Drosophila melanogaster: one gene and its partners. The protein of the gene in region 1 interacts with the protein of each later gene in a pairwise test. Each region holds a gene or a part of one and is shown in the gene's direction. Other genes may lie near its edges.

Region 1 (3,754 bases):
TTGAGAATCTTCTGGAGCTTCAACTGGATCGAGTTAGCAGCGGTGGCGGAGTACCAGTGCCCAAAGTTGATTTGCAGCGATTACCGGAGCTTGATGGCTCCGAACTCGCCGAGCTTGTTAAGCTATACATGGTGGAGAACGAATCCCTGAGGCAGGAGAATAATCATCTGTTCACCGTGCGGGAAACCATTCTTAGGGATCAGGAGATAGTCTGCCGAGAAAACGAGCGCCTGCTTAAGAAGCTGGAGGATGTCAATAAGTAAGTGGGATGCTTTGCATGTTGAATTCGGGTCGGAACGATAGTTTTAAGTCTTGAACTGGTTTTTGATTCCTTCTCCAGGACTGGCTCATTGTTCTCTCCCATTTCTGACTCGTTCTAGGTCGAATCCGAACGGGAATGAGGACAGTGAGCCAAGCCAGAAGGTCCAGCCGAATAAGGAGTGAAATATTACCTATATACATATATCGAATGTTTTCTACTTTTTAACCAGTTTTATGTAAAATGTATTCGTAAATGTTAAAAAAAAACAAGCCAAGAGTGTGACTAGTCATGTAAGGATTTGTAATAAAAGTTTGTTTTTGTTCCTATGAAGCTCGTAGCTTCTCTACATTTTTCATTACAAAGTAAAAACACTATGATTAAATTATGATTTAATGTTTATTAATATTCTTTTACAGAGTCTGTGTGCGTTCCCCATTGATACCAGCACGTCCGGCCATATCCCCAACGACAGGAAAGGAAACACCTGGCACTGAGATCTGGACAAATCCAGAACCGCTCCAATCTCCACCAGGACCAGATTTACCAATAGAGCAGCGGATGTCGGAGAACGCTAATAGACGGACAGATACGGCTCAAAAGCGAATCGATCAGAAAAGAATAGCCAAGAACATTCTGATTATGGCCAATGCATTCCGGAAACCGGACTCAGACATTACCAAGGAGTTGAACCTGAATCCGGAGGAGGCGCATGCTAAGCAGTCGACAGAGTTTATGCCAGAGTAAGTTTTTAGAAACATCACCTAATTAATTTTACTCATAATTTCATTTTTATTTCCAGCATGCTCACATAATTAACTTTAAATAAAAACAGTTGTAAACTATATATTTTTGCAATAAATAAAATAAACGGTGTACAAAACATTGATAAAAAAAATCTATAGCCAATAGGACATATATTGATACAATTTATGAAAGCTTATAGTTATTCCAAGATTCAAAAACTGTGAAATCTTTCCCCACACCAACAAGAAGCTTTCACCAACGGCTGGCAAAAGTCGGAAAACTAAAGCACCATTCTCAACGCGGTCACACTTTTTATAAATATTGATTTTTCAGCGCCCCCAATAAAATATTTCATCGAGAAGTAGAGCGCATATTTCTCGCTTACAATATTGGGGAAATCGAAATAAGCACAACTCAAATTGAATCAAATCAATATTACAGCAGTATTAGCATCCCAGCAACCACCATAGGTCTCGCGGAGACAGCCGTCCTGGACATAATGGCTGCTAATTTGCAACAGCAGCGCTCCATCAACTTGCAGCTACGGCGGGAAGTGGAGATGGAGCGTATGCCCGTCTCGGTGGCATGCTCCTTGATGATGAAGTACATGTTGGAGCACGAGGAGGAAGACTGCCTGCTCAGCGGCTTCACACAGAAGGTGAATCCGTTTCGCGAGAAAAGCTCCTGCAGCATCCTGTAGATTCGGATACATCATGATCCGGACCCAATCCTAACAGTATTATCCTATAATGTATACTCAATCACGGCGAAGTTCAGAATCAGTCGTATTACCTATTTGCTGTTCGTTGTAAGTGTGCTGACCTCAATTATGTCTATAAACTAAGTATATACATTGGAAACGGACGAACCGAGAATTTATGGATGTATAAACAAAATACGAGAAACCGTCTTCACCTAAAACGCCTGCATATGTGTGTATGAATATCGTGTATTTTGCTAATCCTGTAGCTCTTTATTGGAGAATTTAGCAAAGCCCCATCCTATATAGATGTTTCCTATTGAGATATTCCTGAAATAAAGTCATGTAACCAGTGATTTTCATGTGAAGGGTATTTGTTTCGATTTACCTGAGGAAGAATTTTCAAAATTTCAGAATGTTCCGGATGAGTGTCTCGCCTTTACCATGGACAATGCGACCAAGCAAGTTCCCATCCGCTAATCCCTACTTTATTTTCTTTGACCACTTTCGGATTAATCTTCAAAAGCGGGACATTTGCCATCTGAAACCGATTTCCTTGGCCAAAATAGCCGGCAGAAAATGGCGAGAAATGACAACCGCCCAAAAATCAGTTTTTGTGCAGATAGCCGAAATAAATCGAGCCAGGCTTAGGGCCCGTGGTCGCCCCAGTGTTCCAGTTGGTAGAGTAAGGCGCTGTCATATTAAAAGAGTTTATAAGGATAGTTCATTTTAGTGGGACTTGGAAAGTTTTTCAACGTTTAACTTAAAATGACACAGAAGCATTAGCAATTCCCGCCACTAGTTCAAATTTTCACGAGCCACTACCAACACTTCTATATCATCGCACAGCTGCTAATTCGACGTTCACCACACTGGCAATAGTTGTGGTCTGTAAAAAAGAGCAATTTTACGAAAGTACAGCATGAGTTCGGGCTTTGTGACTGAAGCTGAGGCGACCGAGCAAAGGCAGAGACGTCAGGAGGAATGGGAGCGTGTACGCCAGCCGGAGGATCCACTAGAACGACCTGAGGAACCCTACGATGGGCGCTCACTTTATGAACGCCTCAAACAAAATAAGGACAAGAAGGACATGGAGTTCGAGGAAGCCCACAAGCTGAGTAAGACTATGCCATAAACAATGCAATCTGGCCATCCTAACATGCGTAATATACGTATAGAAAACCTCATCCGTGGTCTGGACGATGATGAGGTGCAGTTTCTGGAATTGGTCGATGCCCATAAAATACACGCGGAGCGCCAGCAAATGCGCGACGAGGAGCTAGAACTAAAGGATTTTCGCAATCGTGTGGAAAAGCTGCAGGAGGAGAGTGTAGACAAGGTGGGTAAAGTTACAGCAACAATCAATTGATTTTACAATCACCCGAACTTCCGCAACCCTCAGAAACTGCAAGCTGAACTAAAAACCACAGCGAAGTCCGCGGGAGCTTCGGTCGGGCGTAGCACTCAGAAGACGCTGCTCGGCCAGGGCATCAAGAGAAAAAACGGCGAACTGCCCACCACCAGTAAAGTAGCCAAAATCACTGAGAATGAGGTCGAACAGACAGCGACAAATGAAGCAACCAAGGACCCTGCTGATAAGACAACGAACACCACATTAATTACAAACAAATACAACCAGGGGGCCCTAAAGTGCATCGCTATACTTCCGGGCATCGGCTCCTACACGGAGTCTAGTGACTCGGAGGCCAGCACCGATGAGGAGGAACCCAGTATGTGCAGCCGAACCGACTTATGTGGCCGCAAAATTCCCAAGAAGAAGCAGTGCTCAGAGTAGGATCAACTTTTTATTTGGATTCTTAAAGTGTAGTTTTTCCTTGCAAGAAAATATAGCCTAGAGTGTAAACGTAATATTTTACGCGTCCTTCTTTTTGTTTCTATTGCGATTCTTAACATTTGTCGTCTCGTAAAAGTTGCTGCCAATCTTCTTGCGTTTCTGACTGCGCTCCAGGGAGCGTTTTTGCTTTGCAGTCAACCGAGGAGCCTTTGAAGTGCTGGGTCCATCGTCGTCAGAGCTGCCAGCACCATCC
Region 2 (3,754 bases), on another chromosome or scaffold:
CATAGCCCCATACCCCGCCCATGGTCTTAACCCACATGTTGCCCCTGAGTCGCATGGCCTTAACCCTAACCTAGCGCAACTTTTGTCGACTGAATTCGTTTAACTCGTGTGCGGGGGAAAAAACGCCAAAACTAAACTCAGCGTGTGTGCACGAAAGAGAGGGGCGAGCGCTAAGAGGGAGTATGAGAGGGAGAGAAAAACACATGGTTCCAGGCCACGCGAATCTGCGATATAAAATGCATCCTTAGAAATTACAGAAGAAAACAATTGCAGATAAAAAAAACAGCAACAACAACAAAATGGGTGGACGAGGAAAGAGCGAAAGGCGCAAGAAAAGGAGAAACAACAATTATTGAATGAGTTGGCTACTGCTCCTTCTTCTCATTATTATTCTCCTTCATCAGCTTCTGCAGCCGCTTTGTTTTTGTTTTATGCATGTGTGTGTGGGTAAATGTGAGTGTGTCAAAATTTAGCAACAAAGAAATTTATATTAAGTCATGCTATTGACGGCAACAACAAAAAAGCCAGCTAACTTAAACTTACCATTTTGATTCTCCTGCTTACTGCTAACGGTGGTTGTTCTTGATGTTCGTCCCTCCGATGGTTCTTGTTGTTGTTGTTAACCACAAAAAAAAAATCAACAGACCGCGCACCCACGCGTTTTTCGTTCTTTTCTTGGTTTTTTTTTGTGTTTTGTTTAAAATTTATATATTAATTTCTTTTTAACAATGCGTTTTTGATGCTGTCAACGGAACAGAACAATTGTGCGGCAAGTTAGATAGCAAATGCAGCAAATATAAAAGGCTGGACTCCGCAATTTTCAGCGCGTTAGAAATGTTTTTGTTGTTGTTGTTCTTCCTGTTGTTATTGGTGTTGCGATAATGACTGCATGCGTGTGTGCATGCGTGTGTGTTGTTGTTGTTGAGTGTGTTTTTCTTTTGTTGCTGCACGCGGTATTTCGCTTCGGATAAATTTGTTCGTATGCGTTGTACCGCGCAATACACGCAAAACGAGGAATCGGAATAAAGGAGGAAGGAAACGAGAACGAGACGAGAATGAAGCGACGAAGCCGAAAACACACGTAACATGCCAACTATCGCAACTAACGAGATGCCAACTAGATAGAGCTGGAAAAACATCGATGAGAATCGATAATGGTGAAGCGAGAAAACGTCAGTTTGACGATTATTGATAAGAATGCCGATGTATACTAAAACTTATATTTGGGCACACTTATTTATAGCGTGTTTGCTCTAAAAATATTAATAGCTTAATATTACTTATAATATATATATATGGAAAATATTTTAAAAATATAGATATTTAAATGAAAACATTTTAAATTGCACAAAGGGAGACATAATAAACTTACTTGGTATTTAAACAAATCTATCGGTCTGGCACGCGGTGCACACAAGACTATCGATAAATGGCGCGCGTCTTATTTCTTTATATTTCATGATATATATCCGTTAAATTCTAATCACGTTACAACAAAGTATATGCAAGTTTAACATGGTAAATGAGAAGCGAGCTTCAGCTGTTGCATTTAAATAAATGATGCCAACTGCAATGTACATTAATGCATTTAAATATGTTTTGCCAACTTTAATGTTCAGCTAATTTGTTTATGAAACTGAAAGTAATTAGAAGACTTTCAATCTAAAAAAAGTATAGAAAAAATATATATTGACATTCAAGATATTTAAGATACTTGTGGGGTATTAATTTGCAAAATTTCTGCAAACTTCGACGCTATCGATAAGCATCGATTATTCTTTTTCTTCCACCTCTAGCACCACATGCGTGTTGTTGCTTGGGCATCAAAATTTGTCGGTAAGTCTGGTTTTCCCGCTTTCAATTTCGCAATCCGCCGACACAAGTCCCTAAAAGTCCGCCGATTTCAGACGGTCCGCGTTGCTGATTGTTATTGAGAAGATAAGGAACGAGAAGAACCGGTACTACGCCAGGAGACAGGACTCAGGATCAAAGGCTTCCACGGACACGAAAAGGAATCCACATAGCTAACGAAATGCCTAACGACACTGTGGTAAAGGTGCAGGAGTACAAGGACTCGTTGATCCTCAAGGCAGAGCTGCTAATCACCAAGGGGTTCCCGGAGAATATCGTCCGGCTGAACGAGCTGCTGGCCACGCCGATCTTCAACGAGCGCAACTTCGAAGAAGTGCACCAGGACCTCAACATCCCGGTCCTGCCGCCTCTCCTGGTTAAAAACGAGTTGGAGGATCGTGACAGTCTGCCCACCAAGCGCCAGCGCGTGGATGTCATCGTCTCTGGGCAGCCTGTCATGGGTCTGCCCGCCGGTACAGTGCCGTGCAACAAGCCGCTCTGCGAGATGATCAAGGTCGTCAAGCCTATCATCAGGAAGCTTGTGGAGGATTGTAAGTACACCGTATATTCAAGCGTCTCAACCTAATAAATGTTTTTATGCTATTCAAGAGCCCCTTCAATTTTCCTAAAACAATGAATTCCAAGAATTTTTACATTCGAACGGTACAAATGCCAGTAGCTAAAGTTTTGCCTGACATTAAGCTTTTTAATGAATACCTAGTAATTTCTGAATTGATTTCTTTTGCAGCCAATCTACTTAAGATGTGGATCTCCTTTATGATACCCAAGATCGAGGATGGCAACAACTTTGGCGTCTCCATTCAAGAGGACACGCTTGCCGAAATTCAAACTGTGGAATCCGAGGCGGCCGCCTTCTTTGACCAGATATCGCGCTATTTCTTGTCGCGCGCCAAGGTGGTGTCCAAGGTGGCCAAGTATCCGCACATCGATGATTATCGGCGCGCAGTCGTCGAACTTGACGAGAAGGAGTACCTCAGCTTGTGGCTGGTCGTTTGTGAGGTCCGCAATCGCTACTCCTCGCTGCACGACATTGTTATTAAGAACCTCGAGAAGCTAAAGAAGCCGCGCTCCTCAAATACCGAAAGCCTGTATTAGGCTAGGTATTTCCGAAGCCCGAGCCTCAACTTTTTTTTTTCCTTTCCATCATCTTACTTTTCAATCAATAATCAGCCCGTAGAGCGGACGGTCAGCAATTCTTGTCGCTACTCAAAAAGCTAAGATTTTCCAATTCGGTTTACAAACATCAAAATTCTTTAATTGAAGAGCAGTGATTGAACAATAGCTGTAGCCTAACTACCATCAACTATTAATCCATTTGTACTACGTCTAGAATGTAATGTTGAGATTGGCGTACAATACAAGAAACCGATGCTGTATAGATTCCACTAATAGCTATAGCTATGCATAAAAAGAATAGGCGAGCTCCATTGACACATTTTTTCAACATTTCCTAATGTAAATTTATAACACGGGCGCCCCTCATACGGAAAATGTCCTTAAAAATGTGTGAAATATAAATCTTTATAAGTAATTCGCTCCGAATAGGTAACACTGTGCTTGTTTTCTTGTTTTACGTATTGACTATGGGTTCTACTTTGGGGATTGATATCTATCGCAAAATCGAAACAGGCGCCCAGACATTTAATAAGGTGGAAATTATTGCATTCGATGCGGCCAATCGAAAAAGACAACCTTCTGATTTAACAGTTCAGAAAATTCTTAACGTTACTATGAATTAAAAATGCCCGCCAAAATGTCACATAGTAAATTCTTTTGCGTTCGATATTTGTTTAAAACTGGAAAAAAAAACAAGAATTAAATATTGCTTACCAAATCTACCAATTCTGTATATATGCACAATTTCTTTAAGTGTGTTTGCCAG
Region 3 (3,617 bases), on another chromosome or scaffold:
TTTGGAGTGCAGGATCTGTGGCGACTCAAGCAGCAGTTCCTTGAGATTCTCGATAGCGCTAAAACACTGCAGATCTGAGTTGTTGATGGGCGTCTGGCGAAGATCTAGTGACTGAAATAAATAACCCTTTATAAAGAATATTCGCCGATTGCACCTATGCCAACCTCTAGTTTTTGGAAACCGAAACGTGCCGCCATGCTGCCATAGGGCACAAACTTGCATAGCGCCTGACAGCCCTTAAGACTAAGACGCCGCAAGGAAGGTAACTTCGACAGGCCCATAATATAATAGGGCTCGAACCAGCTGTTGTCCTCAATACTGAGATCCTAAATAAGACGGGGTTAGGCTATTCATTGGACTGTCGTTCGCTCAAACTCACCTCTAGATCAAGCAGATGCAGCTCTATGGAGTAAAATATGCTTTTTGGCGTGTCGCCGACCCTAACGCTACAGTCCTTTAGCTTCAGACGCCTCAGAGTGGCCGGGAACTCAGTTATGTGTATCTGAAGAAAAGATAAAATTGGGGTAGACCAGGGAAACTTGCGAGATGCCAGCACTCACGTATTCGAAGTCCAGGCTGACGCCCTCCAGCTCCAGCACTTTAAGCTGTACAACCCTGGGGAAAACGGAGCTTAGCGTTTGGGTGAACTGGCGGAATTCGCCTGCAACATGCTGCGAGGACGGAGGTCCGCAGATTTTAATGGTGTGTGTCTTTTCGGTGGCTCGTCCAAGAATCTCTTCTAGGATGCCCATAGGCAGGGGCCCGTTGCTTAAGTCTATGTGATGATAGAAGCGGTGATCCAGCAGGAGGTTTTCAAAGCGCGGCGAGCAACTGGAATATTACGGAATGTTATAATATGGAAAGGACATGGAAATCTCAGCGACGCAGAGATCTTTGTTGATAGCGGACTACTTACTGCATCACCGCCAGAATGGAGGACGTGTCCAGGTACTGGAAGATCTCGAAGAGCAGCTCATCACAGAAGTCCATGAGGTTGCACTCCGTTTCCCGGTCGAGGGATTCCTTATGCTCCTTCTCCCTTTTGCGCTGTTTTATCTCCGGCTCCTCCTCGGTAGGGATTTGTGGCAGCACTGGCTGCACGGGCACGGCGGCCAGCTCCCGCCCACAACGTTCGTTGTCCGGGAAGCGGCGCTTAGGCGCTGCAAGGCACGTACTGCCCAATTCGGCCTGTTCCATGCTTGGGCTGCTCCTGCACTTTATTGCCAATTTTCGCCAGCAGCTTTTTTTCCAGCTAAATGCAATTGGTCAAGTGTGACCGCAGTCAGATCCCGAGATAAGCCGCTAGTAGGGGTATTCCTATGTCGAAGAGATGAAACTGGCTTCCGAATTTCCCGGTAATTTTTAATGTCGTTTTTATTATTATATTATTTTTTTTCTTGATTATTACGATTTGATACTAAAGGCGGTGGCACTAGCTGCTCATAGTTATACAATTGAGTCGTCTGGTAAAATGGGAACAATAACAAGTAGTTAATAATCGTTTAATTCTTATGTAGATAATAAAGTTGCCTATTTTGCTATTTTCCTATTTCAAACAAATATTGCATATTATGAATGAAATTTAAAAATAAGGCGCATTACGCATGTGCATGTGCATTAAAAAAGTTATTATACAAATAGAATAAACACATTAAATTAAATAAGATTCCTGTTGTCATTACTAGCAAGCAGTGTTGGAAAACACCGTGCTGCCCTCACTAATTTCTACACCCGTCTCGTGTATTTTTGTGCCTGATTTACTGACTGAAAATGCACCTGCTGCGGAGCCTGCGCCAGCTGAATGGCCTCCAAGGAGTGCGCCAAGCTATCCGGCAGGTGTCCTCGGCGCCCACCAAGCCCGCCGCCCTGCAGTACGAGCGCGATCCGCAGCCGCTTTTCACGGATGCCGAAACCCAGCGGCTGCTCCAGTCCATGACGCAACTGAACTTGGACAAGGTGTATCGGAAGCGCACGGTGCCGGACAACAGCAGCGAAACGAAGTTCATGAGCAACGAGCAGCTGGACAACGAGTTCCAGAACTTGGTGGTGCGGGCTCAGCAAATTCTGCAAATGCCACCCATTGTGCAGATCAAAAAAGATGTGGAGCGGGTGATAGCCAAGGATACGGCGCTGAAGGACTTCGCCAACTCCAAGTTCGTATTCACGGACATCACCTTCGGCCGACGGCAGTCGGAACGCAAGGTAATCGTCCGGGATATGGACGGAACCTTGGCCTACGCCACTCTTGATACCACGAAGCGCATGAACCAGTTGTATTTCCCGCTGGAGGGTCGCCAGTCATATACTCCACGAATGTTCGCGCTGGAGGAGCTGCTGGCCAAGTGCTTGGCGGAGCACAAGTACGAGTTCATCCTGGATCGACTCTTGGTGCAGTACGAGCCACATGAGCCGGAGTTCCACAACATTTCAGCGCGTGTGTTCGAGCATCTCAACGAGTCCAAGGAGTTCGATCTTCTGCGCTCCACCCGCCACTTTGGACCCATGGCCTTCTTCTACGCTTGGCACCGCTGCATCGACGACCTGCTGTATGACATGATCCGTCGGGATTATCTGCACAATGCCGTGGAGCTGATTGCTCTGAGCTACAAGCTACACAACATCCCAGTGGAGTATCAGGCAACGCTGACCGAACTGGGCAAACTGCATGCCACGCCGGCGGAAAGTGCCCTGGCGGAGCTAAGAAGCGTCTTCCGACGACATGACAATAAGCAGAACATTGAGCAGGAGATCCATACGGCCATTGGCAAGACGGAGCACGATTTCGCCGCCGATGAGATCAGCCTGAAGTTCATTGAGCAGTACATCGCCAGCGAACATGCGCTGAAGAAGGTGCAACTGGAGCTGGCGGTGCAGACGCTTAAGGAAGTTAACCGGGAGAAACTGATGCTGTTCCAGGGACTGAAAAAGGCTCACGGCGTCCAGGCTTCGTAGGATCTATTCGCTTTATTGTTATCGATTTCTATGTACTAATAAATACCAGCTAGGTCAAGATTTCTATACGCTGTTCATAGCTCCTTCTTGAGGACCCTGGACAGCCGTCTAAAATGGCCAAGGATGCACTGTCTCCGGTGCCGCAGGCATACCCGCTCGCTGCTGAAACGCTTCAAGCAAACTGAGCAACGTCTGGGATCACCTCTTCCATTGGGCAACCCGTTGTGTTCGCGAAATAGGACGACCACTTTCGCCTTGGCACAACTCTGTTCTTTTTTTCGGTGTACCAAAAGAGAGGTGGTGGTCTTGAAGTAACGTTTGCACTGAAGACATCTGTAGCACTTCCTGCCGCTATGGTTTCTCAGGTGCCTGAGCAACTGCATCTCTGAGTGGCTCATGGCGTTGCAGAGTAGATGTGGGCATTTAAAGAGCATCGATGACTTCCTGGGCGCTAGAGCGGGACAGCTCAGACTGTGTTGCTTCAATTGTTTCTGGTGGTCCAGACGCTGACCACAGCGAAAGCACAGAGCACCAGGTCCATAGTGCGCGGTCATGTGGCTCTGGTGCTCCAGCAAGGTTTTGGCCACATCGCCGCACACCGCGCACTCCATCATGCCGTTGGGAAATATGAATGTGTTCTCGCTCACGTAGGTGAGAAATTTGTC

What was found.
Region 2: the proteins of CG14480 (region 1) and REG interact in a two-hybrid assay, tested with the Drosophila melanogaster proteins (one large-scale study listed by BioGRID).
Region 3: the proteins of CG14480 (region 1) and mRpS22 interact in a two-hybrid assay, tested with the Drosophila melanogaster proteins (one large-scale study listed by BioGRID).

What each region holds. Positions count from the first base shown.
Region 1 is NT_033778.4:17,562,280-17,566,033, forward strand, and holds CG14480 (uncharacterized protein), read left to right. Parts: upstream 1-2,060; 5' UTR 2,061-2,157; coding exon of another isoform or gene 2,158-2,468; 5' UTR 2,469-2,628; coding exon 2,629-2,824; intron 2,825-2,884; coding exon 2,885-3,045; intron 3,046-3,108; coding exon 3,109-3,501; 3' UTR 3,502-3,573; downstream 3,574-3,754. Other genes in the region: Klp54D (Kinesin-like protein at 54D), read left to right, coding at 1-259, 679-1,002, 1,062-1,074; CG43324 (uncharacterized protein), read left to right, coding at 1,506-1,706; CG46428 (uncharacterized protein), read left to right, coding at 2,158-2,439; Ns2 (nucleostemin 2), read right to left, coding at 3,580-3,754.
Region 2 is NC_004354.4:13,210,557-13,214,310, forward strand, and holds the start of REG (proteasome regulator gamma), read left to right. Parts: upstream 1-1,768; 5' UTR 1,769-1,836; intron 1,837-1,893; 5' UTR 1,894-2,032; coding exon 2,033-2,402; intron 2,403-2,599; coding exon 2,600-2,967; 3' UTR 2,968-3,754. Other genes in the region: sno (strawberry notch), read right to left, coding at 544-546.
Region 3 is NT_033777.3:27,915,232-27,918,848, forward strand, and holds mRpS22 (mitochondrial ribosomal protein S22), read left to right. Parts: upstream 1-1,676; 5' UTR 1,677-1,770; coding exon 1,771-2,952; 3' UTR 2,953-3,017; downstream 3,018-3,617. Other genes in the region: CG5003 (uncharacterized protein), read right to left, coding at 1-111, 165-326, 380-502, 561-831, 917-1,197; Boh1 (buddy of Hmr 1), read right to left, coding at 3,027-3,617.